4 linked regions of the Lepisosteus oculatus genome follow. The protein of the gene in region 3 purifies or fractionates together with the protein of the main gene of each other region. This does not show direct contact. Links are inferred from orthologs where the notes say so. Each region holds a gene or a part of one and is shown on either strand. Other genes may lie near its edges.

Region 1 (7,500 bases), on a different chromosome or scaffold from region 3:
TATCTAAATTTAAGTCAAGCTAATTTTTGCATGCCCTCTGCCCTGTCTTTCTCACACCTGAAGAAGGCTCCATGGGCGAAATGTTGTGTTTTCTTTCCTCTTTTTTCAGCATGGAATAAACCTATAACTTGTAAGTTTTGTATGTGCAGTATTGTAAATGAAAAACACATGACAAAATGTTTCATATCTGAATCAAAGCTGAATCACAAGATGTCCAGAGTAGGTAAGTGTTGCACGTTTCTTAAATGAAATTGCTGGAAAATAAAATGAAATAGAAAGTTCTATGAATTGAAGGAGTGATAATATATATATATATTACTTCCTACCACTGTTAACAAAAAGAAGGGCATCTGAAATGGCTCCCTTCTGGCAAGTTCTTACATGAGCAGCATGCACATTGAAGAAGTAATCATACACATCTTATTGTTTTTACTTCTTTTCACAGCTACTTTTCAGAACCTGTGATGTACAGTTCAGTTTTTATAATAAGTATTGACTTAACCATGGCTGCACTGTGATGCCCACCATCAAACAGCACAGGATGAAAAAAATGTTTTACTGATGGCATATTTTTACACATTCCTGAAGTGGGTGTTGCATTCTTTAAAGCGCATGTTGAATTTGGAGCATGGAGAACAAATTTGGTTTCACTGCCAGCCCCATTAACATGTGAAATTGCAGAAAATATTGTTGTTTACTTAGTATGTTACAGCAAAGGAATATGTTACGAAACAAAAACATTAATTGATTCTCCACCATCTCTGTGTAGGCTAATAAGTAAGGTTAAGCTGTGATAGATCTCTATGGAAATTAATTTTCATTTTAAGAAGTTTTGTTTCTACAGACTTCATATTGGGGTTTCATGTCTATTACTAAATTAGAATAATTTTGTGGACCTTGGAGATTATGATGGTAATACAGTACATACAAATTAAATGTATAGTATGTACACAATCATTGTAGACCAATCATAGTACAATCATTTGTAAAGCTACAATACAGATATTTTTATTAATCTTTAGTTTGAGAGTATAGTCTGGATCTCAATCACCTTTCCCAATTTTTCTTCCTTTCTGCTATAGGAATCTTTTATGAAATGTACTGTATGTAAAAATTCAAAATATCTTTTTGAAACATCGAAAGAACTTGAAGTTAATTTTTAGCCATTATTCTAATTTAGACTAGTTATTGCAGAATGGCTTATTTAAATGAAGAGGAAGAATTGATATTCTCTATGAAAAAGCAAGCCCCTTATACCTGTGACTTTAAACAGATTCATTTTGTTGATCTATAATATGATCTAATATGATCTATAATCCACTCAAAGTGCTTTACAGGTAATGGCTTTACAACCAATGTGCAGCATCCACCTGGATGATGCAATGGTAGCCATAGTGCACCAGAACGCCCGTCACACATCAGTTATCAGTGGGGAGGAGAGATGGGGATTATTAGGAGGCCATGATTGGTAAGAGCCAATGGGAAACTTGGGCCAGGACTCTTTTCAAGAAACACCCTGGAATTTTTAATGACCACAGAGAGTCAGGACCTCAGTTTTACGTCTCAACCGAAGGATGGCACCTGTTTACAGTATAGTGTCCCTGTCACTATACTGGGGCATTAGGACCCACATGGACCGCAGGGTGAGCACCTCCTGCTGGAGCCACTAACACCCCTTCCAGCAGCAACCTTAGTTTTTCCCCAGGAGGTCTCCCATCCAGGTACTGGCCAAGCTTACTACTGCTTAGCTTCAGTGCCACTTGTGAATTGAAGACTGATAGGGCTGCTGGTGATCTACACTTTGTTTAATTGCTATGGCTACATCTTTCTTTCTCTTCTCACATTCATCCTCAGTGATGAAACTTTACTTTGCAATTCCAACTTAATATGTGCCTAACTGCCTTCCAGATTTATCTAGTGGGCAGCTTCTCAATATTGTATCTTAATGATACTAAACTTATGCATCATAAGCATTCATAGAATGTTTAAAATGCTTATACTGTGTATGATATTAATATTTTATATTATATTAATATTTTTGAAATAGGGTTGGATGGTGACACAGTGGTTAGCATTGCTGCCTTGCTGTGTTTGGGCTCTGGTTTCAGTTCCTGGTGTGCTATCTGTGTGTAGTTTGTTTGATCTCCCTGTGTTTGTGTTGTTTCCTCCAGGTGTTCTGGGTCTGTCCCATAGTCCAAAGATACACTGGTAGATGTTTTGGATAAATCTGTTGGCAAAAGGATGGATGGATTACTGGGAAATGTCTGTGATGTTGCTCCTAACTTGATTCAGCTTCTCTGAAGTGTTATAGTGTCTTTGCAAAAATTACAGCTCTTTTGCACCACACTCGTGTGGAGAATGGATATGATTCTTATTGGCAGTTCTCAGATAGGTTATATTCCTCAATTGAAATTCTCTCTTTTAGAGTTCTTCAGTTAATAACAAATGCTTGCTTCAATAATTCATCTCCTTGCATAAAAATCCTATTCCCAAAAGGAAGGCAATTATAAGCAGTGCCTAGGGTATTTCATGAGGTTTTAACTTGTTTATTTCACTTTAATTTAGTGTTCCAGTGAAAAGAGGTCAGCTTGGTTTTCGATGAATTTAGTGTCCAAATGCTTAAATCCAAACTAATAAACAAAGAGTGTAAATAGTTACTGGCTTTTGTTTTACCCTCAAATATCTATGACTGTGTACTGCAGTAGAATGAGAAAGTAAAAGCTAGAAAATTAGATAATTAGAACAATACAGTGATAAGCAAATATTATATTGCCATTACCCTCACCTGGAGAAAAAGTATAATCCAGGTGGCCAACATAAGTGGACAGAAATGACTTATTATAACCATTTATGCAGATCTCAATCAATTAAATTATGCATTATATTATAATTCGCATTCTCTTATTTTTGCATAATCACATGAATCTCTCACTAACGAAAACCAACAGGAATAGAATCCAGCAAGGGCCTGTCCTCAATAAAACCAAAAAAAGCTTAAATAAAAAAAGAGTAAATACTATTGCCCATTAGTGTAAAGCAGCATGGAAAGTAGGGTACTGGCCACTTACTGTAAACCACTTTGAAATATATTGTTTTGTTAAGCATATATGGTATATAGCACTGTTGCTCTGCTCTTTATTTTTAAATTCCTGACAAATGTATTTGAAATCAGTCAGATGTGAGCTTTTAAACTTTGTATACAGTATGCTTAATTAAATTGCAAGAGCTACCCTACCAAGGATTAAGCATGCACCCCACTGTACTAAAATGAAAAGGCTTGTTTGAGAGCCACTGTAGTGTGTATGGGACACAGGATGAAACACCAAATGCAGCAGAGGTACAAACGGCAGTATCTGTTAGCTTGGCACCATGCAGGGCCTCATGCAAAAGCCCTAGGTTTCAATCTGGGGATGTGTGAGAAAACTTGACAGTTGCACTGTTGGAATTACAATGTACTGCAATACACCATTGGTTCAGAGCTGTGGTGCAGTGTCTATCACTGCTTTTCCACAGATCATAGTTGCTGGATTCATTTCTGGACTAAGGTGCAGGCATTCAGACTCTGTGTGAGTTTGCATTTCTCCCCTTGTTCATGTGGATTTATTCCAGGTGCTGTGGTTTCCTCCCAGCTCCCAAAAGAAATGGTGGCTAAGTAAACTGGTGTGTCTTAATTGTTCTCTTGTGATGGACTGATCCTAGATGATATCCCATCTTGTATCCTAAACCATTGTGATATACTCTGGATTTTGGGATTCATCTTGGTACACGATATTCACTCTGACATCCACCCCTTAGAAGTATATATTTGCTGGTATTAGTACAAAAGTTTCTTTCTGCTTAATCCATAGATAAAAAAAAAAATTCATTGAAGTCTGAATCGAAAAATATTGGGTTAATTAACAAAAATAGAAAAAAATTAATAACTAATACAGAGTTGCATATATACAGAGGTCAAATGTTAATCGATTCCTTAAATGGAAAGGTTAGTACAGTATACTTAAACATTTCTATATTCTCCTCTGTCAATATTGAATTGTATAAGTGATTAGCATGTAACTGATGTACGTTCTGTCTGAAATGACTGAAAGGGATTACAGAGTTCTTTATATCACTATAAATGGGGATTTTGATTTTATCTGAAATGTAGAACTTGCCATTTGGAAGGCTTGAGAAGTTGAACATGTAACTTGACAGGATGTATTGTACAATTAAAGACACTATATAAAATAAAGGTGATTATTAGAATTTTTCTGCAAAGAACATACAGTATACAGTATTTACTGTATATCTGCCAGGTGCTGGTACAGTAGAATCTCTTTGAGGAAGGGGCCTGCTTCTTGTTAGCTGTGTTAACCTCTCCGAAGCCCTCCTGTCATTCGGATATTTTCAGAAGCAGCAAGTGGATGTCAATGAAATCATGCGCCAACTGTAGCTCGGCTGACAGTTTAAGTAGGCATTGGAGCGCATGACTGGCAAGCGAACAGAGGGAGGAGGGGGGAGGGCAATACCAGCTGAATTTCTTTTAACTGGATTGTGGCTTCCAACTTGTGCTCTGCAGGCGTGGAAAAGTTCATTGTACATCAGCTAAACCTTGTCAGCAAAACAGTTTTCTGTGCTTTAGACTTAGAAAGGTAAGAATGCGTGTTTTGCTATTTCTTTCTCACTAGTTGTTCGTATTTTTGATATCTCATTTAAAACGTCACTGTTTCGAATAGTTTACTAAATCATAAACTTTAAATTTTAATTTCAATGTTTTCTTGGAAGGGAATCAATTGTTTTGATTAATTATTTAAAAGGGTGTGCGGTTGTAGCGAGTGCATTTAAACAGATGACGGACACTTCGTGCCTTAATAAGACAGAATTTATTTAGTTGACCACCGGTATCGGACATTTACCGTGCAAGATGTTTTAGTCTTTTTTAAGCTTTGTCCTTATAAATATGTAATTTATATACATTTAATAGTTGAATTAATTAAGTGGAAAACACCAGCTCGTTTTAATTATGTAATGACAACGAAAGACACCAGGTGTTTTCCTGTACACTGTAGTCATCCCCACTAAATAGAGAATGCGTTTTCCAGGGACATAACATAATTTGTATATTTAAATTTATTTTTGTGCATAACTCATTTGAATGCTTGGACACAGTGTGCAACTATTTTCGACACTTTGCAGTTTATAAAGTTTATAATTTTGCAAGTTTTTTCTGTATTCTGACATGTAAACGTTTTTATAAATATATTTTTGTTCTTAATTTAACTAACCAAATAGAAGTTTCACTTTGATGAGAAACTGTTGGCGTGCTAAATATAGAATACTACGCAAAGCTTGGGTTTATTTTTTGCAATGCAAGGAAGCCTGCAGCCTATTTATAATCTACTAGGAATACCTTGGTCAGGGTCACATACTAAGGTAAAAGTTTCTAAATAGTTTATAAATGGTTCAAAACATTTACAGTAGCTACATGAATCTTTATCTTTGAGAATTAGATTTCAAATTATTGATTAGTTGATGACATTTTTCACTTTGTTCATATTTAATCACTCAGAGTAACCATGTATTCCATTAATATTCTAATTATTAAACTACATACTGTATACATGTTCAGTCGTATTTATCCAATATGATATGTGTAATTAGACTGTTTTATCAAAACCTATTTTAGAAGACTCAGATGTCAAGTAAAATAATTGATTCATCTGTAATATATCTCCTTAAGGTCTGTATTAATGTGGAACTCCAATAATTGTACTGTGTGATGTAGGTAACTGATATAAACCAAAGGGAGTTTTTTGAAAACTGAATTATTATTGTGCAGTGGATAATGTTATGTGTTTTTTGCTTCTTTTTCTAATAGGTAAAATGACACTGCTACAAAATCTTCAGCTGAAAATCGACCCTAAGGATCTTCAGATCAGGACTATAACAGTGGAAAGGTTGCTTGAACCACTGATTATACAGGTATTCAGTTTAATAAACAAGGACATTCATACCAATGGAAAAAACGTTTACCTTTGACTTTGATCAATGAATTTAATCTTAGAGGAAAATTAACAGTTAACAAAATGCTTGCTTTCTAAACAAGTAATCTAACACCAAGCCACCAATTCATTTTTAAGCCTCCAATTATTTCTACCAAATTGCTCCATGAATAAGAAGTTGATTATTATAATTGGAGAAACTGAAGATGGGCATGGCATCTTTAGGAAGCAGCTTAATAATACACTGGTGTACTATTTTCTTGTGAATGTGTGGACTTGTTTTTTCAGGACACTCAGAAAATGAGAAGGTTTTTGTTCTGGTTAGATAAATATGGGTTTCAGAGGATACAAGGCTATCTGAATGAAAAATGACAGTTCAGAAGACGGTCAGTCAACCACAGAATCTGCTATTGAGCAGCTAGAAGGAGAGTTTACAAAAGCTAATAGCCACTGTTCTTGACCAGCTTAGGTGCTACTAGGAGTCTTGGTTACAGGCACAGAGTGATACAGCCCAGACAAGTGCAGATTTTAGACTGAATTTAGCCACAACTATTTTGTTGTTGCTCTGCTCATCCATGCAATCACTTTTATGCTACCTGGTTAGTTGCTATCAGCTCCAATCCTATGCTTCAGAAAAAGTGTCTCAGTACAATAGCTGATCCTGGAGTCGTATTGCAAGTTGTGAGGAACTGCCTATGTAGTCTTGGGCAGAATGAAAAGATATGTCTCTTCAAGCAGCATGTGCCAGTTTTAGAGTTTGCATAGTGGAATGCTAAGCTGTTGAAGGGTTTCTCTGCAGAAAGAGTCATAGGGTTCTCTTAATTTCACACCTGCTATGACTCTTGATCAGAGGTTTACAATCAGCAATTCCCATATAATAATTCGGAGTAAACAGAATGTATTCTTTTACTTACATACAGTATATATTACATATATATATCCCTCACCCCTGGAAGCAAATATCTTGAATGTCATAATGTCTTAGTGTGTCTGTGTTTTTATTCAGTTCAGTTTTATTGCATCCCCCAAAATTCACTTTGGGGCATTTTTTATGTTACTAGACCTATTTGAACAAACCTGTCACAGTCGTCTTCCATCCTCTAGAGGGTGTTCCTACATTTTTTGTTGTGTTCCCAGCTTTATTTGTCCCAGCTATTTCCTATCCCCGATTCCCTATTTAAGCTTGGCGTCTCCGTAGTTCTGGGCTCAGCTTTGGAAGACGGACGCCCAGAAGCCCGCCTACCATCAGGCACAGAAGTGGCCCAAAGGCATAGGCTTCACCATGGCGTCCTGACCTCTGAGTCTGGGGCTCGGAGCGCTTTGCCTCGTTATGATTTTAATCTTCCATGTTCCTGGTTCAACGTTCCCATTCCTGTGTTAATGGTCTTTGTCATGGCTGGACCACGCGGCTTTTGGATTACGGACCGCGCCCCGATTTTCCCTTCTGGACTTCCTTGGACTCGTTAGCCTACTTCATGCCTCCTGTGCACCAGATCACTCAAGTCACCATCCCCTGTCT
Region 2 (7,558 bases), on a different chromosome or scaffold from region 3:
ATTCTTTTTTTTTATTCGGTTGCCCTGGGGGACAGCTGGTCCTGTTCATTTTGTAATGATCAGTGTTGTGAGGGGGATGCAGTTCGGAAGCGAGTTATCAGTTGAAGACGCAAGTGTCTCCCCTCCACCTCTTTCACTTGAATCGGATTTTCTGCACGCAAGGCTTGAAGTAACCAGTAGAATTAATTTTCTGTGTCGGAGGCAGAGCCCTCTGCTGACTTATTGGTCTACCAGTCCATTGCGCAGCCAGTACAAGCCCATTCATAACATGACAGACTGGGCCACATGTGACAGCTGGTATTACAACTACCAGCAATACTACAAATGACTACTACAAATATTAATACTGAGAAAGAAATAGGGGGTAATAATGCGTGAGGGTTATCTAATATTTGGATTTTTAGCTACCAAGCAGGAACATTTAACTGTCCAAGGTAACCCACTTTCAATGCATTCAGGTAGCCAGCCCAAATCGTAAAGGAACTGGAACAACCTGACTCCGGGTCTGGCACATAGAGAGAGCCCTGCAGCTTCATTCGGTACAAAATGCCCATGTGAGAGAAGGTTCACTGTCCACCCTTAAATAGCACGTTTACAGCGGCATGGGGGACAGGGAGAGCTGACGTGAAAATATGAAGATTCAGATTCCCGTTAATTAATGAAACGGCGCTCAGCGCAGGATGCGGTCAGCCGTTTCAGCAAAGCCTCCCACGCAGGTGTATGCTGGCCCTCGTCTCTCAGAGAGAGGAGGTAGACCCGAAGTCCACGTCAGTCCGCTGCACTGCCTTGGCGTCTGCTTCACGTGTTTTCAACCACGGGAGGGAAACAAAGCTTATGGGAAAGGAAATTCAGACCCGTCTGAAGTGCCGTTTACAGAAAAGCCCGGTAGAAATGCATATTGTATAGTAGGTCATGCTGTGCTACCCACAGGCAGGAAGTAACACTTTTATAATGACTTCTGACATTTGTATTTTATGTTTCTAACTTCAGCAAGTTTATTTGTCATTTATAATAAGACACAAAAATGACCCAGAGGACCTACAGTGAGTGTTTCTGTTCACTGCTTTTCTGATTATGGGTCTGTAAATATCTTGTTTCTCGGGCAGTGTGAGACTTTCTGTTTCCCTTGTGCCACCTGTCTGAAGCGAAGCGAGAACTTTCTCTGGACAGAAGTTTGCCCCATTGCAGAGATGGGATGCAGAAAGGGCCCAGAAACTAAATGGAGAGGGAATGGAAAAGTAGCACTTCAGCAGTAATCAGCCTCCAGCAGATTTTAGTCATGAAACACTGCAAAACACCTAATTTTTTAATCTCACTTTGTCTTTTGCCGTTTTCTTTTTCAACTCGGCCAATTAGGAATTGCCAGTTGCTGAAGCGGTAAGGACTGAGCAGCCCTGACACGTGGATGTTGGGGTCACTAACGTACAGTATAGCCTAGTCAGTTCATGGGGAGTTCCATACACCCACAACTCTCTGTGTAAAGACGTGTCTCCTCCTCTGCATCCTTAATTAATTTCCTTATACAGTAGATTCCAACTCTGACCCACATTTCGCTATTAAGATAGACATACAGTAGCCTGCTCAGCCTACCTTGACGATATTGATTAGTATTTGTCATAGACACTTGTTTTTTAAGTCCTACAATGTCCCCCTAGGGTCCTATTATGGACATGACTGACCAAAAGAAACAGCACAATGACATCGATATGAAAAAGGGGAAAAACTCAGGATCTCCTCTACACTCAGTGACAGACATTCACCCAGAGCCCTGGGGGAAAACAGAGGGGTTTTAGCGAGGGAAAGCAGATGAAGGCACACATTGTTTCACTCAGCCCTTCTCTCGGCTGGGTTTGTAGGGATGGAGCCAGTGAAGTGTACATGTGACTCTCCGGGGCTAAAATACGCGCCTCTTTGCCATCTCCACGTGCTAGCCTGATTGGACGAGCCTGTATCAATGTTCGGCAGCAGAATGCTGCCCCCCCAGGGGAAGGTACAAGAGGACGTGAGATTAAAAAAAGGATTGAGGCTTTGCCGTTTTGATAATGTGCCTTTTTTAAGCCCGTTAGCTGTCCCTACAGGGACACTGCACTAGCGTTGACCATTCAAACCACAGTGAAATCATGGCAGAAGAGAGATCTCACATAATTCAGAATGAATAATTGCAATAACTCTTACCTTCCCTGCCCTTAGGAAGTGGGGCAGAGCTGGAGGTCCTTGCAAACATACAGACTCCACACAAACAGGCACTCCAGCCTGGAATCGAACCCAGGACCCTGGAACTGTGAGGAAGCAAAGCTTTCCACTTTTGCCACTCCAACTTTGCACAAGTGAAGGAACATTGTGCTTTCTGGTAGTCACAAAAAATATCAACTCCAAAATGAGGATTTTCATTCTCACTGTCCCATGAACTGAATAATTTGCCATAAAAGACCCAGGTCCTGTCTGGCCAGCGTGCTTGGCCCTATCCTTTGAGCAGGCAGCATTATCTCGGAAAGCTGAATACACACAATACTATTATTTGGCCTGAATGCAGATAAAAACGAGTTTATGCAGCTGTACTATTCTTGTGCTGCTCAAATTACAAAGTGCACTTGTTAACGGACAAGACTGCATGGGAATGGACGACAACTGCACAGGAAACAAGGCCAAAGAAGTTGGCGTCTCCCAGCATCGCTGCAGCTAAGCAGCACAGCCACATGCAGGAACAGCCCGCTGGTAAATCACTGCCCTCTGCTTCCTTCCCTGGCACACGGGCGCAGAGGGAGCCTGCGACGCCAACACTGGCCAAACCGCCAGGCACACAGCCCAGGGCCGCAACGAGCCAACCGTCAATTTCACCCGGCGTAAGAATACACCGGTTGGAGGCTGCAGCTCGCCCGAGATACACCACCGCGTTTGAAAAACCTGCTAAGATAAGAGAATTCAGGAAAAACAACAAACAATGCTTACATGTTGTCTGAGGCCAGCACAGTCTGTGCCGAGGGAAGGAAAGCATAACATTCGCTTCTTTGGGTACGTGCTAACTATTTTTGCTCAGGTTCCGGTACCTTGAAACTTCCTATTCACTTCTGCGGCTTCCTCTGTGCGTTATTTAGAGCTGAGCGGCGTGTGTGTGACACACAGAGAGCAGGCTCGCGCACCTTCTCCTTGTTGGCCCTGGGCCGGCTGAGCAACTGCCACACGGCACAGCTGTACACATCTGTCTGTCGCCGTGGGCGTGCTGGGCCGGGGGCGGGGGGGGGGCGATCATGTCTGCTCAAACAAACACTGAGGAGGGCAGGAAAAGGGGAAAGGATACGCACTCCACTGGTCAGTCTTCAATCACAAACAGCCAGCGAGCCAGGTGGAAGGTGACTCAACTCAACTGTTGCTTTGTCATTTGCAAACAGTCACAGCAAAAATGAAGAAGATCAAGAGCCTGCTTTGCTCAGGGGTTGTCTTGGATGTTGGGGTGAAAGCCAGATGACTGAACTGGAGAACTGCCTTTTTGACACAGACCATGAGACTCCAAGAGGTCGTACTTTATCAAATCAATAACAGCAAATGCTACTGCTACTATTGTCATTATACCACCCAGAGCAGCATGCCGTATGCATTTCTGCAATTACTTTAAAAACATGAATGTCTGTCTTGTCAGGCATAACTGACATTGTTTGCATTGCTGATATGAAGGTCTAAAAGCGGCACTACAGTGCTAAGTGACTGATCATGAAACTTTCCAGCACCATTCCCACATGTGCTTGAAATGAGTGTGGGTGTCCTGGCCCAATTTCCCACTGGCCTTTACCAGTCATGGCCTCCTAATAATCCCCATTTGTGAACTGGCCTCATCACTCTGCTCTCCTCCCCACTGATCGCTGGTGTGGGGTGAGTGTACTGGAGCACTTTGGCTGCTGTAGCATCATCCAGGTGGGGCTGCACACTGGTGGTGGTGGAGGAGAGTCCCCATTACCTGTAAAGCGCTTTGAGTGGAGTGTCCAGAAAAGCACTAGATAAATGTAAGGAACTACTGTAGTAGTAGTAGTAGTAGTAGTAGTAGTAGTAGTAGTAGTAGTAGTAGTAGTAGTAGTAGTAGTAGTAGTTCTAGTAGTAGTAATGTCACACATCACATGTCAACAAGACAGAACTGGACTGCTCCATCCCAGCAGTGAGGACAAACAACATTGCAGTCAGATTCTCTGCAGTAGCTACAGACCATCTCTTTGCATTACCAATCAGAGGCAGGGTTTCAGGGGCTCAAGCTCATCAAGCTCTGAGGAGGGGTGGCTGAATCTGTGCTGGCAGGTGCCTCAGCTGCCACGGCTGCACAAGATGAAATATTGATACACAAGCTTCACTGTCCAGAATTGCAGAATGCAGCTCATGTACCAATTACAACTACTTTGCCCCAGCATATACTGTATCTCCTGTCCTGTGCAAACTGCATTGGCTCCCCATCAAATTCAACTGAAGAGCTCAGCTCCAGGTTAAGGCCTTTACTGCATGAGTGTAGACCAGCACTTAATTTGACATCTGCTGTCTCAGGTCGAAGACCAGGCTACACACAGTGGACAACAGAGCTTTCTGTCTGCTGTATATATAGAGCCTGAGACACCAGACATCTTTAAAGTTTATTTAAAGACCTACTTTTTAACTATAACCTTTCATGAATAATTCTGCATTAACACTTCAGTTTATATGGTTTATTTTCTGTGTGATTTTTCTTTCTACTTCTGTGTTGTGTGCACATAATATTATTTTACAGTGCTTTGGGGTTTTTTTTTCAGTAGCGGTAACAAAGAAAAGTCCATATTATTACATGCACAACCTTTAGTCAGTAGGAGTCAGGACCATAGCAGAGGAGCACGATCTTGAAAACAATGCAATAACAGTCACACCTTTAGAAGTGCTCTGATAACTGCCACTAAAAACCGTTACAGAAGAGGTGTGGCTGTTATGATGATTTAGTTATTCTGTCTCTTCCCTTAAAAATAATTTCTTTGCTTGGGCTGTAACCTCAGAATGACCTGTGGTGGTGACACAGAAACGAGGCCAACAGAAGAAAGAAAGACAGCTAAATGTGAGGCCGTGATTACGTGCAAGCGCTCTGGAACTGCAGCTGCTCTGCTTGTCCTTGTCGTTTGTGCCCGATCCAAACAATTCGGCCACAACCAGCTCTTGAAAAATCCCACTAGTCACTCAAGCAAATGCAAGTGGCAGCGAGTGAAAACAAGTCAACGCTGGGCGGATTCAGAGCTGGGCACAGCCCTGGTGTCCAACCCAGACACCAGGAGGAGGTCAAGATTCACCGAGCTCCGAGACCCGTGCAATAAGCAAAATAGACTTTGTTTTTAAAAGATGATATTATTTCTCAATTGTTTCCAGTTGTCTGCCTGATTTCTACACCAGGTCCTTCATCAATACCAGTGAGAGCAGTCCGCCCTCCCTTGTCACCCTCCAGGCACCAGTGAATCACCTGTGCTGAGATCAGGCACTGCACCTCTCAGACAGCCACTACTTGTTGAGTTCTGTGGACTATAAAGAGATGCGGCTATCCTTTAGCCACTTAAGACAGGACTTCTCTGCTTCTCCCTGTTCATCTGACCAGATTTAAAGTTGGTTCTTAAGAGTTCTTTGTCCTTGTTTTGCTTAAATTTGGGTCTATCATCTAAACATATTTGAACTTTCTAAATCATTTAACTATATATAGTAACTACCCATTCGTGTACCGACCAACGTGCCTGTGCAGCTATGTATTGAGCTTCCTATCCTCCTATCCTGTGGCAGGTTGGCTGAAATGACGCTGAAGCATTCAAGTGCTGTTCCCCTGTGTTCCAGGCTTGGTTGCTCCATCCTTCCTAAGTGAGCTTCATAACTGTTTTGAGAAGTGATTTTGAGCAACAGTAAGTTACAAATTCAAGCCCAGACGCAGCAAAAAAAACAATTCCGAGGTTAACAGGTGACACGCATAACAGCAGAGGAAATAATATCAAAAGAGGTAGTACAGGAACAAGTAGGTTCACAAACTTCAGATGAATATACAGTATATATAAAACATTAGAACTTATTTGTTGCTCAAACAGGATATGAAGAGAGAAGATGCCCCTGTGATAGCTTTAAATACAAGTTCCTTAATAAATGAAAAAGATATGGCAAATGTTAACAACCTGTTACTTAAGCTACTTAATTTTCTTCTGCAGCGGAAAAAGAGAAGGGAGGACAATGGCAGAAAATCCCAGCAGGCTCAGAGGGATACCATCATGAACGTCTGTTCTGACCACTAAACCACTGACAATGCTTCATGAATACAGGCCGGCTAATTCTTAATCCCCGTCCTCTCAGCTCGCTTTTCTGAAAAAACGGGATTTGACCGGTGTGAAAGTGGGGTTCTGTGACACAGGAAAAGGACTGTGAGGGAAGCAGGGAGTAGAGGCGGGCGGCGAGGTCGAGGGTGAACCAGAGAATGGAGGCAGACAGAGGTAAACCAGCAGGGAGAAAGAGACGGGGATGAATGACCGGGCCGGAGAGAGAGGACAGAGGTCCAGCAGGGACAGCAGGGCGAGACACAGCGGAGGACTAGAAAGCCAGGGAGGTATAGCACTCAGAGGAAGGTGGTGTGAAAGATGGACACCGGCAGCACAGAGAGAAAAATGAAGTGGAAAAGAACAGGAGGAGGGAGGGAGAGACGAAGAGAGGAGGAGGGGGGGGGGAGAATGCAAAAGAGGGAGAAAGGGAGGAAGAGAGTGAGAGGGGAGGGGGAGAAATGGAGTATCCATCTGGCACGGAGAAGCCCGAGTTCCCTGCCAGCCTCCAGGAATTCTCCCAAAGGAAGTGAGCTGGAATGCGGGGAATGCTGGAGCCGTGCCGGGATGGCAGGATGGAGAGCCGAGGGGGAAACAGCAGATGCCTGATGGCTCTGACAGGGTGTGGTGCGGAGCGGAGACCCCAGTAACGCGCGCAGTGCCCCAGCAGCGCTGCACACACTTCCATTCGGTTTCGCCTGCGCTGGGAGATGAGGGATTCTCCCAGTCCTAGAGCTGAAACACACATGTTCTCCCCATTTCTTTTTTTGGGTGAAAGGCAAGTCTGCAGACTTTCCCCAACTCTCTCAATACACACTGTAGTTAAATGTATGAGCTTAGATCTGCGCTTATCTGTGCTAAGCTTCCAGACCTTGGTTTGACCTTTACGGAACTTTATTACACCAAAAATGCAGATCTCTGCTATTTTAATCAGAAAAGTAACGCTCTCCCAGCACAACAGAATTTCCTAGCTGCTGACTGCTCAAAGGGAGCTTTCATCAGTACACTGACTGCAAATCTACAGAGTCTAGCAAAAGGTTTGATTTGAAAACACAGGAAAAGTCAGGACGGCTTCACAGGAGTCAGGATTAAAGATGTACAGTAGCTGAATGCTCAGAGAAAGTTCAAATTTCAGTACCTGTTTCACTTGTAATGACAAAAGCTTGTAACTGGAAATAAACTTCATTTTAAAAAGCCAAGCTCCTTTTTTAGTGGCACTGTGCCAACTCTTAAAAAGTTCAACCTGCTTTTTGATTACCTGCAGAGAGCAGACACTC
Region 3 (7,582 bases):
ACACAGTACAGCAAAAGGGAAAACTACGTTTTATGTGACTATGTCCAAAAACTTCTAAACTATTCTAATCTGCTTTTATTTTAATCAAATCCAGTTATAAAGATTATAAACAAAGATTTGATTCACTTCTACACACAAGCATATTGAGGATCGGGGTAATAACCCTTAATTCACAAGTCATTCTTGAACCAGGAGGCAGGAAATCTTTATTTACCTACACCACACCTCTTGTACAGACACCCCCACCCCCCACCAATTACCGCTAACAAAAAATAAACAGCCTACAACCAATAACACTTAGTTGCAGTACTCAGGAAGAAGAAACAGTTGATTAGTTCTCTATGAAAATCCTGACTGTTCCCAACTTGATCAACAGTAAAACACCTTTAAAGCGCTGTTGTTCGTAGCTGTAGCATTCCAGGTTGTGGACATGTTTGAGAGATTAGTTTTGCCAAGATTAATCATAAAACAGTCGGGGCAAATCTAGGTTAGTCAACACAGATCTTATTGTGTATAAATGTAAAAAACCTGACTGTGTTGGGGGTGTCTTAAAACATCAAGTCCGATAGGTCTCTGTCTCATTTTGAGCCCTTTAACCTCCACCATGGAGAACATACCATTTCTGGCATTTTCCACCCAGAGCAAATCACCTAACTGATCTCAATCAAGGTTTAGCATAGACCTTTCAGATAACGCAAACAAAGAAACCACCAAGCGCTCACAAGTAAGCGTGCCACAACCCCACCTATGCAGCAGAGTATGTATTATGTAGGGCACACATGACCAAACATCTCACGCCAAGTTTCAGTCCCACAACCCCCTGAGTCTGCCACTGCCTAACCTGAAGCACACCAGTGCCACCAGTCCACTATGAAATCCCACCCCACCCTCCTCCCCACAGGCCAGCGCAACCGCATTTTTTCCACAGGCCGAGAGGAATGCCTGAGCTCTGCTCACTTCGGCACTTCTCCGCGCTGCAGCTGAAAGGGCTCGTGGTGAAGAAATAAAAGATCTGCTGTTGGGCTCTCGGCCCCCAGCTTCCAGACAGCCGCCTGCACCTCCCTCACACATATGGAACTCATTTGGTGCAGAAATCTTCAAAGGAAAGGCAGGCTGCTAGCACACCTCCCCCCAAAACCGCCGAGCAGTGAAACACGACCCCGAAGCCTCCAGCTTCGCCTGCCTCTGCACTGCCTCGCTCCAGCTCCTCGCAAGCCAGCCTGAGCGGCACACAGCCCAGCCCTCCGCGCAACAGAGCCACACAGCCAGGGCTCAGGCTGAACCAGAACCTCGGCTCCACCTGACTGCTCTGGGGCTCGGGGCTGTAAGCGCTCCCCCGAAGTCACCTGTTGATCTGCAGTTCCCCCCTCCAGGACCTTACTCAGAGCCGGGGCAGTTGAACCCCCCCGCAGGACCTTACTCAGAGCCGGGGCAGTTGAACCCCCCGCAGGACCTTACTCAGAGCCGGGGCAGTTGAACCCCCCACAGGACCTTACTCAGAGCCGGGGCAGTTGAACCCCCCGCAGGACCTTACTCAGAGCCGGGGCAGTTGAACCCCCCGCAGGACCTTACTCAGAGCCGGGGCAGTTGAACCCCCCGCAGGACCTTACTCAGAGCCGGGGCAGTTGAACCCCCCGCAGGACCTTACTCAGAGCCGGGGCAGTTGAACCCCCCCGCAGGACCTTACTCAGAGCCGGGGCAGTTGAACCCCCCGCAGGACCTTACTCAGAGCCGGGGCAGTTGAACCCCCCGCAGGACCTTACTCAGAGCCGGGGCAGTTGAACCCCCCGCAGGACCTTACTCAGAGCAGGGGCAGTTGAACCCCCCGCAGGACCTTACTCGCAGCTGGACAAATACAGAGGTGCCCCCAGCCCACTCTCACGGCTAACGAGCAGGAAGCAGCCACGGGAGTCCGGGTCACGACCGCGGCTCTGTGCTCCACACTCACCCACCCGGGGGGGGGGGGGAGGGGTCGACCACCCAACTTCCCTTCCCGTTCAAACAAAACGCCACCCCAAAGTTAAAGCGCTGGGCATTTCCCGGAGCGCGGCTACAGTCTTCGTGCGTGGGGAGGGGGGGGCTCCCCACCCCCACGGGCCCCACGGCCCCGCAGCCCGGCGCGCAGTGCGGGCTCTCGGGTTTCACTCAGGCTCCTCCCCGCCTTCCGCTCCGGCCTCTGTCCGGCCGGCGGGGCGAGGGGACCGGCAGGCCAGCAGCCCCCCGGGGGCGGGGGGGTCATTCAGCCTCTCAGCGCCCCACTCCCACCAGCAACAACAACACGGCGCACGAAGTTCAGGCGCCACCACGCCCGCAGCTTCACGCCCTCCTGCCTGCCCGCCTCCCCCCCCATCAAGCAAAAACAACAACTCGCTACCGAGCCACGCAAACCGGGGGGGGTGGAGGAGGAAAGAAAAAAAAAACACGATGAACCGCACGCGAGCGCAACCCCACCACCACCCCACGCGAGCTCGAGCAGTTCCTCGAGGGTGGGATAAACTCGAGATTTCCAAGCCCCACGCACCCCCCCACTCCTCCTCCCCGTCCACATGCACACACACACACGGGACCCACGATCACCACACCTCACGGCCCGTCCGGACTCCAACTCTCCCGGCGGTGGCACCGGGAGAGAGCAGCCCGACAGCCCCGGACCCCCGACACGCACACGCAGCCCACTGCAGGTCCCGAGTGGGGAGAGACAGCCCGAGAGAGAGAGCCGGGCCACCCCGCCGGGCGCCCAGCCTGCCTGCCTGCCGGCCGGCCCGGGGCTCACCTACCGCGGCACACCGCCTCTCTCCGTCCCCGGCGCGGACCGGCCCGGCTCGGCTCGTCGTGCGAGGCGCTGGAAAGGGCGAGGAGAAGCAGCAATAAACCACCTTCGGCGAGGACGGAGGGGTAGGGAAAGCGAAGAAATCGAAGCCGAAAAGGCGCTCGTCCACCGCCGCAGCCCAACAGCAGCTCCGCCACAGGAAGCGGACAGAGAGACTCAAAATGGCGGCCGGCGGAGACGGGCTCTTATAACGCCTCCCGGGGCCGCTGTATCCTGCCGCGGAAAGTAGAGCCCTCCATCCGCGCTCCGCCTCCCGGCCCCCCCCCTTGGAAAAAAAAAAAGAGCAACGCCAACCACAACAACACAAGCCGAACAACACAAAACGGGCCCGACCCGCTGTCCTGTCGCGGCTTTAACGTCTGCGCGCTTCGGGTCGTTCGTGTTGTGTTGGGTTTCGCCGTTGTTGTTTTTTGTTCTGTTTCACTGTGCCCTCGCGGCGGGAGGAGGGGGGTGAGGGGTTAGAGAGTGCGCAGGGATACGGGAGGTGCGGTGGCGGCGAGGTACCTATTCATGAGGCTGGAATGCGAGTGGGTGTGGGAGTGGGTGAGGGTGAGTGAGGTGTGGGTCACGGAGGGTTCCCAGCCGAACCGCAGGGCGAGGGGAGACCCGCCTCGGTGTGCACTCCGGGGACCTTTGTCCTCCAGTGACCGAGCAGACCCGACCCACGGGTGCACCCGTGGAAAACAAGAGAACACTTCAGATCTCATTTTGTTTCCAGTTTTTTTTTTTAAATAAATAAAGCATGGGGGGGTCACGGCGATGCGCTGGTAGGGGGTTGTGTTTTTTTACGGGGTGTCCTTGCCGGCCCCCGGTCCGACCCCCAGCGTGCGTGTCGTGGTCGACAGGAAACCATCGGACGGCACAGGCGCCCCAGGAACAGGGCAGCGGATCGCCAACTACAGCAACAACAAAAAACACCCCAGCTAGCGCAACTTAAAGCCCTTTCATTCGTTTTACGAGACGTAGCAGTGGAAATCCGTGGTTTCATTTATGCGGCTTTCCGTTTGAAGAGCACTGTTTTTAAAAAAACAAGTCAGCTGTGTCACAATGTCACCTCGCACCGAGGTGGAAAGTGTGAAAGCAGCCGAGAGCGACCCGATCAGAGCTGTTTCTTCAGTGTTGCCCGGCAGGACGGGCGATGAGATACAGTCACTGAACCCGCCAGCCCCGACGGTCCTCTAACACAATCGCATGCAGGATACAGTTTTAAAACACAGTGTAACATCATGAGGCGATACAGTGCGCCAGTCAGCTGTGTTGGGGATGGGGAATCACGGCCGCGTCTCGCCGGGGGGACGCGCGACACCCGGTCGCCCGTGGGGCAGGGCTGACGTCACTCTTCTCTTGGTTTCGAACCCGCACACGCTGGTGACGCGTCGGTGACGCAATGGTCTCACAGCGGAATCGATGCCATTCTCGGCGGAAGGGGCACCCACACCGAACGCGAGCGAAGTCTGGAGCCCTGCGGTGGTCTGGAGTCTTATTGGGGGTGTAGTGTCCCCCTGTCCACTCCTCACACCCTGTTCTTATAAGACAGTCTATAGGCTGCTGCCACCTCACCGAATACGCGACTCTCTCATTATTGTGGGTGCGTGTGGTATAACAGGCATCTTCACACCGGCGGCGAGTGACGTCGCTTTGCACAACATACAACCTGTTTTCACCTTTTTCTTTTTTCCCTCCGTCGGCTCCCACACTCACACTGTGGTGCATCGTCATTTTTTTCCGGTAAAGCATTACAAGGTGTTCCTAGAACCCAGGCAGGTGCGAGTCTTGTGAAAACACGCCTTTTTGTTTTGTTTTGTTTTGTTTTGTTGGGGACGGCCCGTGTCTTCGGCTGTGCCGAGTGGGAGCGCAGTCCCTCGCACGGCTGCTGAGAGGAGCGCCTTGGATTGTGTCCGAGTTGCCTCCGGTGTGGGTTGACACTGGGAGACGTCGCTCTGTCCGCCGTGAAGATATGTGTATGACCACGTAGATTGGTTAAATTAATGGAATCATAAATGTTGTTTAAAAAAACGAACAAGCTCACAGTCAACACAAACTGTTAGGGATTCGTAAAAAAATAATTATTTTTTACTAAATTTACTCAATAAATATATAGCATTAGTCTGATGTACATAAATTGTACTTATCTTCAGTTGGCAGTGAATTACTGCTTTATATTTTGTTATCCAGTGGTTTTACGATTCCGAGTTTGAAGAAGTAAATTTCTTCATGAGTAAAAAAAATACAGTAGCTTTTGTTATTTTCATAACTGTTTTTACTACTCTCCCTTATTTCTGCGATTTAAGCACAGAAGTAAAGCTCTTCGCACAGTCTGCTTGGGGAAGATGTTCAGTTCTTCAGCATGACAGTGGTGACTTGCACAAATCGCTTTGTAATAACAAGAAATGGTGATTATTTTGTCATAATATTTTTCTACCGCTTGTCCTCTGAGGACTGTAGTTATCGTCTTGTGGTGCTGATGTATAAGTTACAACTGTCATTTCTTAAACCTGCATTCTGGTTACATTAATATACAATGGTCTGCATTGCTTCTGAATATATATTTATAGCCCAGTACACAGGTTTAAAATACAGTCTCTCTCTGTGCACGTAATCAGAAATGATTATGGTAAGTGGTCTTTTGTTTTCTGCACACAAGAATGTAATCATTTGCTGTCCATGAGCTGCATTTGGAGCATGCACATCGTGTTTGAGCATGCTTGCACAAACAATATTCATAACAAAAAGGTATACGGTTATTGTTAATTATAATTCCTGGTATTCATATAGCCCCTTTAATCCCCAAATGAAAAGATATGGGAGTGGACCCACCACGCAGAGCCCAGCTAATAACGGGCAGCAGGCCCACTCACTACACGGCAGGCTGCGTGCCGCGGTGAGACAGAGCTTCACCAGGTGAAATTAAGAAGGAGCGCCGGGTAGGCCAGATTGGGGAGGCGTGGAGCAGGAGTGTGCAGGGACATGGAGGTCAGCATCCCACCTCTCACGGGCTGTGATGGGATCAGGTAACTGGGACCCCCCCTTCAACGTTTCAGCCATTTTAACTATACTGCGATTAGATAGGAAGACACCAAAACACGGGACCTAGGATTCCAGCCGAGCGACGCACTTTGAAGCTTTGCGGGTCCGGCGAGACTCGTGGGATGGCGGAGGTTTCTGGAAACGACAGGGCGTCCCATAAACATGCGCTCCTCCGTGGATGGCACGTCATGAGGCGAGCAGTGGGTCCTCGGCGCTATGCACGCCCCGGATGAGCCCAGGGAGGCAGTGGGTGTCTCCAGAAGAGCAGAATACACAGGAACCACGAGTTCCGAAATCTGTTTTTATTGACAAATTTAAAGCGCAATGTTACAACACGATTTAATGAGCAGAACACCTGGAAGTGTCTGGGTAAGCCTCCAGATATCCACTGCCGTATCTCTCATGGCTAACATTTGTCCTACTTATGTAGTTTCAGAGGGCTTTTTCTAGCGCTTCCAAATCCAGTGTGTTACATGCGGTCATAATTGATTGTTAATTGGAACTTTTTCTTTTATCGTGTTGTTATGGAACTGAAAACAGGACGCACGTGTTGGGTGAAATATCATCTGAAGTGAAGCAATCAGTAGAAACACGTGGACCACACGACACAGGTGACTTGTTGTTTTAAATGTTCTGTGATTTTTCTGTATTCACGTGGACACTTCCCACGTAAACGCATAAACATGTTATTCATCCAACACTTTGTTTATCTGACAAAACAACACTTTGGCGTCTGTAGAGCAAGGGACTCAATTCAGTCCTTTTCCCACCATGTCTGGTGTCTGGTCCACCTGAGCTCTCAGTAACCTACCTGACAATTATTTAACATCTGTGTAACTGGAAAACCTAAGATGTTCTACAGGTAATTGAACCTGTAATGACTTAAGTAATGAACCGTGAAAAAGGTTAAGAAACAGCCTGTTTCTGTCAAACTAAGAAAATAATTAGGTTAATTGTTTAATTGACTCCTTGGATTGGAATATAGAGTTCCTTCAGGGATGGAGTTTGACACCCCTGATCTGCACTTAGGTTACCAGAGTGCTTTAGGCCTTCAAACGTTAACGACTGGTGGAATTGTTTAAACCTTAAAGCTAAACACTGAACGGAATAGATGATTCAGATCTCAAGTCTGAAATGTCACGTGTATATTATAGTTTAATGTCTTCTCAATTTTTCCTTGAAAGTCCCATTGATAAGAAACTTTACTGTGTGGCAGCACAGAAGCAAACCCCTACAGTAGCTTGCCCTCTGCTCCTATTGGCTATCAGCAGAAGCCTTTAAAGATTTTGAAAAATGACTCTGTTGTATAGGTTTGTGTTTGTGTCTTATACATTCCAGTGAAAAGCCGAAGAATATGAAAAGGGAATCTTTTTTTTTTTAGTGGTGAAACTACCAAGAGCAGATGTAAAATTGTACAATTATTATTATATGTGGAATATTTCCACAACAAGAACGAGCAGCACTCTCTTTGTTCCAGGCTGAAGATCCGCTCTTCCTTGCGTGATGTGGTGCTGCATCGTGCTGCAGTCTGCAGGGGTTGGGAAACTGCAGCTTGACTGTGTGTGTTGCTCCCATCGCATGTGTTCAGGGTGGGTATCTGTAAGGAAGGCAGGTAAATCCATCTGATCAGTGTGTTATCTGAGAGGGTCAGCTGTGACACAGTGCACAGGAATAAAACCTGTATACTGTGAAAGAAGTTCACTGGGCAGAGCTGATCTGAGAGTC
Region 4 (7,879 bases), on a different chromosome or scaffold from region 3:
GATCACACACAGTCTAATAACTGTTCATTAGTCACCCAAAGTGACAGTGTCACGTTTTCATAATTATACAGCTTTTGCCTAGCAGTATTCACGAGCAACTCCTTTAAGTCCCATAAAAAGTCTATAGATTTTCACAAAGTTTTTCCACAAACCCTTTACATTATCTGCACCCAGAAATTGCTGAAATGAAATTTTGGTCCTGCTTGGTTTCTCTGTTCAGACGTGCGGCTGAGATACAGTAGCACCCTGTAACCTGATCAAAACCAGCAGGGCTGGGCCTGGTCCGTTTAGCAGATGGTCAGTAGGTGGCACTCTTCCCTCTGGGCAATTTGTAATTAGTGATTCAATGTGATGACCAGGGACACCGGGTTGTAGAAAGTGGCACTGGATCTTCTGATGTAATTTTAAACTGTTTTAAAGAGAAGGGATTTTAACTCTGGGGTCCTGGCTAAAATTTCCACTGTCTTATACAATCTGGCTTTCCTGCAGAATCCCCTCAGCTCAAATGGTAAATGAATTGCACAGTTCTGACTGATGTGCTGTGTAGTGGTGCTTCTGGCCCACAGAGGCTACCAGGGCTCTGTTCCTGAGTGGTGGTGGGCGAAGTGGGTCCCCTCCTTCATGCAGTGTGCTGTGGGATCCTTTAGGATGAGAGCTGCTTGTTGCAGCCTGAGCACAGCAGAGGTCTGGAGCCGACAGGGTTTGAAATTTAAATGTCGTTGTGCCCTTCATTCTGTAAGCTGGAAACACTTTGGAGGTTCTGAGGCACAGTTCGCAGTGTCAATCAAAGTATCTTCAGCCACTAAGATATGTCACCAGTGGTTTTCTAAGTGGTCTTCCAGGCTCGTGGTCTTCTCAATATTACAGCCCCTGATCTGGTGGTGCTTGCAGCTCTCGGACCGCAGGTTTGTTCTCCGGCCTGTTCGGAAAGTCCTGTGCTCTCTGAAGCCTTTCACCAGAGCTCCCAGGTGTGCAGTGCTTGCCTGCTCACTGGGTACCTCACACCCTGCTACAGAGACGGCAGACACTTAGATAGAGAGAAGATCAACAGTCAATTATCTGGGAGTGGAATGATTGGCAGCTGCCTCCTCTTCAGCAGATGCTGTTGCAGTGCTATATAAATCCAAGTTTTCAAGTACCATTTCATTTCCACTCCAAACCCAAGTTCAGCGTTTTCAGATTTTGTGAATAGTACTAAGCGGCTCCTCGTGGGATTTAGATACACATTGTTTCCCTCACTTCTTTCCCTCACAAATCTTTTACTGTGCATGAACTGTAGCCTTCTAACACAGCAAGTTAATCATTTCTGACTGGCAAACTGTTAATTACAGGCTAAAAGAGTTGTTTCCTCTCGCCTATTGCAACAGACGCTCCCATTTCGGCAGTTTCGGCTGGAGACAACTTGCAGCCTCACTGACAGTGTTATTGTCCTTTTCATTGCGGCGGGTCACGGAGCAGGTAAAGCTGGGAAGGCAGAGGAAGAGCAGACATCCTCTGGACACAGAGGTGAAAAGGGGAGAGCAGGGATTGCTCCATGTTTTTCTAGAAGAAAACGGCAGGAAAGGGTGGACCAGGGGTAAAAGGGGAGGGGGTGTGGGCACAGTCAGCGCAGCGCCGGGGAGTGTCGACCATGACACAGCAGCCCCCCAAGTCCCTTTCCCCAAGACAGACTTTGAAATCCTGGAATTGGACTGTCTTTTGGGCAGCAGGAGCAACAGGGATCTGGTCTGGGGCCGACCGGAGCACCAGTGGCTACTGGAGTGCAGTGACCAGGGAGGTCTTGCCCTTCATCAGATGGGGCTGGGACGATCAATCTCTGGAGGTGTCTTCTTTCACAGAGGGAACTCAGTCAATGCGTGTGTGGACACAGGGGCGCGGTCTCCTCTTTCCCTGCTCAAAGACCTTTCATGGGCCCACCCACCTGTTGCCCCGCCCAGGCAGTGTCCTCAGATCCACTGTCCCGCAGCCTTCGCCTGCCCGAGGAAGACGTCACGGACTGTCTCCCCATGGTGTCAGAGGGATGGAGAAAACATCTGGTCGTCTTGTTTAGCAGGACACAGGGTAGCCTACACCCTCTCTTGGACTGTTTGGAGCCTGGTTTCGGTTCCCTTCCTGTCCTTTCTAGAAAATGCAGGCTTGACAGCAGGACCTAGCGGCTCACTGTCCATGGGGAGGCCACCAGTTGTCTCTTCCTATGTGGCCCACTCGTGGGTCTGCACCCACTCTTTGACCATTTGGAGTGTGGCTTCGGCACCCCTGCTGTCCTCTGTAGAGGGCACATGCTCTGGCAGCAGGGTCCACAGCTCATGTGAGGTGGGGAGCATTCACAGTTCTGCTGGGCGATAATCTCTATGGTGCTCTGGGAGCAGGGTCCCACAGCCAGTGATCGCATGAGGGCCTCGTCCCAGTGACGTGCTGGGGTGCTGCTGGACATCGTCTTCTGTGGAGCTCTGGCAGCAGGGCCCTGTGGCAAATGGGAGCAGGGCTGGATGTCACCCTCTGTTGCACTAGGCACAAGGGAGCAATCTTGTAAATGCCTTATCTGTGCCAGTCCATTGCTCCCCCCAGCTGCTTTGCTTTGGCTCTGTCTGAGCAGCAGTTGTTCTGCTGTGTTCCAGGTTTCGCCTACAACCCAAGACAGGGCATCCCACTCTTTACACCAATGCAACACAAGCTCTCGTTTCAGCAGCGGCATTACGCAGGCTGGAGATGACTGTCAGACTCACTGACAGTTTTATTGCCCTTTTCATCACAGCGAGGCATGCCACTCACGGAGCAGGTCAGGCTAGAAGGCAGAAAGAGAGACATACTCTGGACGCAGAGGTGGGAAAGAGAAAAAGATCGAATTGCTTCCTGGTTTTACAGGGGGAAATGGTGGGAAAGTGTGAACCTGGAGTGAAAGGGGTCTTGGGGACAGTCCAACGCCAGGGGGTTGCAGATATATACCACATGTTAAAGGCAAACTGCAATCCTGATTTTTTGGACCAGTTATTAAATCTCAGTAACAAAATAAATTAATTGATGTTGTAAAAAACATTTTTATAAATTTCGAATTAAGCCCAAAATTGTGAACTTTGTGAAAGCACTAAATCACCATGTTGTTGCAAACTCGCAATCAAGTTTCCACGGGTTGTGATGTGATGCGGCCCTTTCTGCTCGCTAGTCGATGTAATGACTAATGTAAATCATGTACTGCATACAGATCACGCTGCGCATACCTGGAACTTTAATCTATTTTGTGATGTAAATATGAAATTTTACAGGTTACAGTGTACATTTGACTTTTATTATGGTTTGAAATGCACTCATCAATGCTGATTCTAACCACAAAATATTAAAATAGCTTTGTTATTTAGCTAAGTACCAGTGTTTTCAATTTCATTTTTACAAATAAAATCACATCCAGGCCTCACTGCTGTTGCACAACAATGTCTTAATCAGGTTAGCTCTGATTTTTTATTCCATGACACATTTTTTACACCACCTCCTGAAGTGAAGAAATGATTAGGGGTGTGCTGTATGATGGCAGATTGATAACCTCAGTGCAAGTTTTTGGAATCAGTGTGGCACATCTCTGCTTATATCAGTAGGGCAAAACTTTCCTCTTGGGGGGGCACATTGCTTGTGGGATTTTGATCTACCTCAGATTTATTTCCACGATCAAGCTACATATTATCCTAATTTAATTAATTTAGCATATTACCTAGGTCTTTAGCTGTTGATGATTTGAAGAGATTTAGAAAATCTGTTGGGTTATGGTTCTTAAAACTATAGTAATATACCTATGAACGTCAATAGGAATCCTATTGGTTGCCTAATGGTTGCCTGTCTGGGTGTTACAGGCAACCATTATATCACCAATTTCACATCACGTCAACAGTTAACTTTCAACAACCTCATATCTAATTTGTGGAGGAGTCAGATCCTAACCCAGGAAGCACACACTCACAAAAGGGGTAATCTCAAAGAAGCCAATTAACTTTCCAGTATGCTTTTGGGCTGTGGGAGGAAACCACACAACACCCCAGGAATTGAACTCTGGGCCCCAGCACTACAAAGTAAACCCCTGCACCACTGTGCTACTGTTACCCACAGTTCACAGATTATTTAAAAAAAAATGTCAAATATCCTTCAGCCCTCAAGAACTATTGTTCCCTTCTTTGTATCAGTTGCTTAATTGATCAGGTGCTTGAACAAGTGTTTTTTATCTTTAAATAACAAATTTAGATTGACCGATAATATTTTTCCCTCACAAAAGTTTACAATAGGGCAATCTAATTCTTAATTTATTCCTTGTTTTTTGTTATTCTGTCCAAATTTTTGAATGATCAACACAACGAAGCTAGAGCAACTGATTTAAAATGGGTCTCTCAGAAACAGTCCAGCATTAGATTTCTTGTAGCGTTCTTGAAAATGAAAACACAAGAAATACAAATGGGTACAAGCCATTTGGAACTATTTTGTTATAGCAAGCAGTAGTTAAGAAATCTACAGCTAAGTGAAAATCGGGATTTTAGAAATTGTAAGACTCTCAGAGATACAGAACAAGTTTTGTTTTGTTTCAACACCAAACTTCTCGTTTACAAGGTGCCTTTCACGGCAAACCATCTTTAGACATTGTCTAACACATACATACAATAATAACAGACAGATAGAAAAAAATTCCCTAAAAAGGCAGGACTTTGAGAATGTTATAAACCTTTTAGTAACTAAATATTAAATCATTGATACAGCACAACAATGAATGAGCGACTGACATACAACGCCTCTTGTCTCTGTACTCGAATCTTGCCCTTATGGCTGTTTTAAGGTCTCGCGAGACTCTTCTTCTTCCTCCGTAGAGGAACGGCCGCAGTGACATCTCGCGATGCTTAGCAGTTCAGCCCGGTTGGTGGGACAGTTCCGAAAAGCCGGGCAAGGTTTCTGATCCGCGGCGTCGTGGTGGTGCTCATCTGTCCTGTGGAGTGTGTGTGCGTGTGTTGGGGAGACAGAAAAGAAAAGAGCTGCCGTCAGGGAAATCTTTTTCTACGCATAATCGGTTTCAGGAGCCCCTTCTTCGGATTACCGAGTACGAGGCAGTTGAGGACTCCCGCGGCTGGGCGCTTTCGAGAGAGAAGAGTGGAGGATCCGGAAGGAGAGACAAAGCATGTCCGAGACGGAGAACAACAACGTGGAGCAGGAGCCGCGGATGGAGGCTGAGCCGGAGGGAGAGGAGGTGAGCGGAACAATAGCAGCACGGAGAGGGGCCACTGGGCTGGCCAGCATCTTGACATGGCCAGGTCCGAAGTGCCTGACGTCTTTATAGCGAATGCAGAACTTTTGACTGATTTTACTTTTCGATTTGTTTCTGGTTTTGTTTTTTTTTTGTTTGTGTTGTGGGTTGGTAGTGGGTTCCATTCTTTTTCTTGTTTCTTTTCTGGATTTTCAACCTCGTTGATGTTTCGGTTGAAAAAACTGGGTGTTTTTTTTTTACTTTTTTAGTAAACCGGCGTTGATAGGAAATAAAGGGACGCTTCAGCTGTGCGTGGTCGTGATGGTGTCCTGTTTGAAGTAGAAAAAAACCCAATTGTGATTATTGTGAGGTGCTTCGGTACTCGGCCTGCCTTGGGGATGTACTTGAGCACTAAACAGTTTTCCGGATATCGAGTGAGCCTGGAAATCGGGAGTTTCGAGGAACCCCGTCCGCGTTGATGTGTGTTTTTATTTTTGATTCTCGACTCTTCTGTCGTGAAACGAAGTCCTAAAACGAGGCGTGCGGCAACTTTACGTGGCTCCCGAAAGGAGCGCCTGTGTGATGTTTTGTGAGCGGAGGGACCGGTGATGTGCGTGTGAGGGGACTTCAGCTCCCCAGCCCGTCAGTTTTTGGCCTAGTTGCTGCTCAGGCTGGTTGGTTCCAGTCAGCCGCTTCGCCGACACCACAGCGGCATCGCGGGGAGGGAATCCGCGGAATGAATGAGCAGCGGAGCGGACGAAGGCGTCGAGGACCCCTGCTTGTTTTGTGTCCGTCCGAGTCGGTCTTTCACCCCTGCTTCTTGATACCAGGCGAATAAAGGTTCGAGACGAGCACCTCAGTATTTTCGACCAACTTCTGAAACATTTTTTGGGGGGGTCTGAAGCTTCCCGTTTTTCCCTCTCAGGGCTGCGAAACCATGACGTCACCATCAATACAAACCGCCCACTCCTGTGTGTCTGTGCTCTTCCGCGGCCGAGAGAGCCGCGGGTAACCGGGTTGAAAGCTAGTCAAGAAATCGGCGTCAGCCTGAAGTTTTCCTCTTTCACTTTTCAGCGTGGATTTAACCTCTTGTCCGCCTGCTGACGCAGGTTCCCACTCTGACCGTGTTTTAGACACCTAGTGTCCAAACGTAAAATGTGAGAGTTCGCTTTTGTTCAGTAACTTAGCTCTCATTCGTTAACTGGCATTATTAATACATTCTGGAATAATCACGAATAGGGCTTTGTACATCTGGCAGACGTATTGCACGGGTTACAGATCTAGGCACATTTTCAGCTGTTGCACTTCAGCTACAATAACAAGGATTGGTAAATGTGTTTCAGCCTAGAAGTAAAGTTTCTGTAGCCGTGTACCAGGTCAGCTCTCCATTTTAAAGTTTTTAACATTGTATTTCGATCTGCCTGTCCCGAAGGAGGAAGAAGCATCTGATCATGAGGATGGCAGTCAAGTGGAGACCCCCATCCTAAAACCAAAGGAAGAACAGGAAATGTTTCCCGACTATGAAAAGAAAATGGTAATGTCTTGCCACAACCTTTATTTTTAGTTAGCACTGTCACACCACATAGTCTTGCCTTCAAGAATATCTTTTCAAGATTTTATACTTGAAAAGCCATTTTTTTTAGTTTGATCTGTGAGAGTAATGTCTTAGCCAGCTCCTCTGACTTAACCAGTCAAATAGTTATTTTTGGATGCAGTCCATTATATAAATGTTTTAGGTGATATTTAGATGGTGCATACCTGGCACGTTTAGACATTTTGTCAAGTGGAGGGCACTTGGGTATATCCTGGCCATGTGAATGACAAGTTTAAATTTTTCATAATTCCAGTGATGAAAGTACAGTATTTTTAGATAGTAGTATAAAAGATGCTACTGTGGCAGTGTTCTGATATGGCAACAGGCAAGCGGTGCTAAAGAGGAAAACTCTTTTCTTCTTTTTGTGTTTGCAGAGTTAACAGCAGCTAAACAATGAAAATAAGTGTATGCTGGATTTATTGTTGTTAAGGTTGTGGTTTATAAATACTGACACATGCTGGTGTTTTATTCCCTTCATTTAATGCCTCTTTCGGAAAAGGCGGTGGTTTTTAACTATCCTGGTAGGTTAGGAGTGACCAATGTCTGTATCAAGTCTACCTACTGGGTGTGCTCTAAAGAAAGGTGCAGATTGCAGTTAAGAGCCAGCCATGTTAAGTGGCTGGGTTTACAGAACTGGTTGAAAAGCAGCGGGGTAGGCATAATTTCTTTGCTTACATAATCAACTTTGCTTTCATGTTTATGTTCATTGCAGAAGGGTATTTTAATAAACACCTGTGTAACTTTACGAAGCATCAGGGGAACTTGTTTTCTGGTGAAGCAGAGCTATCAGGCTGGATGCATCGTTTTTGCACATTTTACTGAATACTAAAGCTTCTGAGGGAGATTTTATACTTGCTGCACAGAGACAGTGTGTAAATATTAACAGAGCTGTAACAACATGATCAGTAAAAGCCTTTTTTCTATTAAAGTCACTGCAATATTCTGTTAAGTGTTTTAAGACATCCATCAAAAGACTTAAGTTTAAAAAAAATTGGGTTTAATTCACAGTTAAAAGCATAAAGAATAGCATTCCTTTCATTTAAAAAAAATCAGTGTTTGTTAATTATTTTATT

The links.
Region 1: the proteins of ctnnb1 (region 3) and catenin alpha-3 purify together in Homo sapiens (affinity purification with mass spectrometry; 4 studies listed by BioGRID and IntAct, counting the BioPlex papers as one, with this or other methods). This does not show direct contact. The link is inferred for Lepisosteus oculatus from reciprocal best matches to the Homo sapiens genes CTNNB1 and CTNNA3.
Region 2: the proteins of ctnnb1 (region 3) and hdac7a purify together in Homo sapiens (affinity purification with western blotting; 5 studies listed by BioGRID, with this or other methods). This does not show direct contact. The link is inferred for Lepisosteus oculatus from reciprocal best matches to the Homo sapiens genes CTNNB1 and HDAC7.
Region 4: the proteins of ctnnb1 (region 3) and smarca5 purify together in Homo sapiens (affinity purification with mass spectrometry, with the first as the bait; 3 studies listed by BioGRID). This does not show direct contact. The link is inferred for Lepisosteus oculatus from reciprocal best matches to the Homo sapiens genes CTNNB1 and SMARCA5.

Annotation. Positions count from the first base shown.
Region 1 is NC_090699.1:34,545,143-34,552,642, forward strand, and holds the start of catenin alpha-3, read left to right. Parts: upstream 1-4,490; 5' UTR 4,491-4,631; intron 4,632-5,857; 5' UTR 5,858-5,862; coding exon 5,863-5,961; intron 5,962-7,500. UniProt on the Homo sapiens protein: May be involved in formation of stretch-resistant cell-cell adhesion complexes.
Region 2 is NC_090696.1:16,830,949-16,838,506, reverse strand, and holds the start of hdac7a (histone deacetylase 7), read right to left. Parts: upstream 3,011-7,558; 5' UTR 2,996-3,010; coding exon 2,950-2,995; intron 1-2,949. UniProt on the Homo sapiens protein: Responsible for the deacetylation of lysine residues on the N-terminal part of the core histones (H2A, H2B, H3 and H4).
Region 3 is NC_090705.1:42,390,481-42,398,062, reverse strand, and holds the start of ctnnb1 (catenin beta-1), read right to left. Parts: upstream 3,012-7,582; 5' UTR 2,877-3,011; exon of another isoform or gene 2,774-2,876; intron 1-2,773. UniProt on the Homo sapiens protein: Key downstream component of the canonical Wnt signaling pathway.
Region 4 is NC_090696.1:27,528,823-27,536,701, reverse strand, and holds the start of smarca5 (SWI/SNF-related matrix-associated actin-dependent regulator of chromatin subfamily A member 5), read left to right. Parts: upstream 1-4,869; 5' UTR 4,870-5,146; coding exon 5,147-5,215; intron 5,216-6,644; coding exon 6,645-6,746; intron 6,747-7,879. UniProt on the Homo sapiens protein: ATPase that possesses intrinsic ATP-dependent nucleosome-remodeling activity.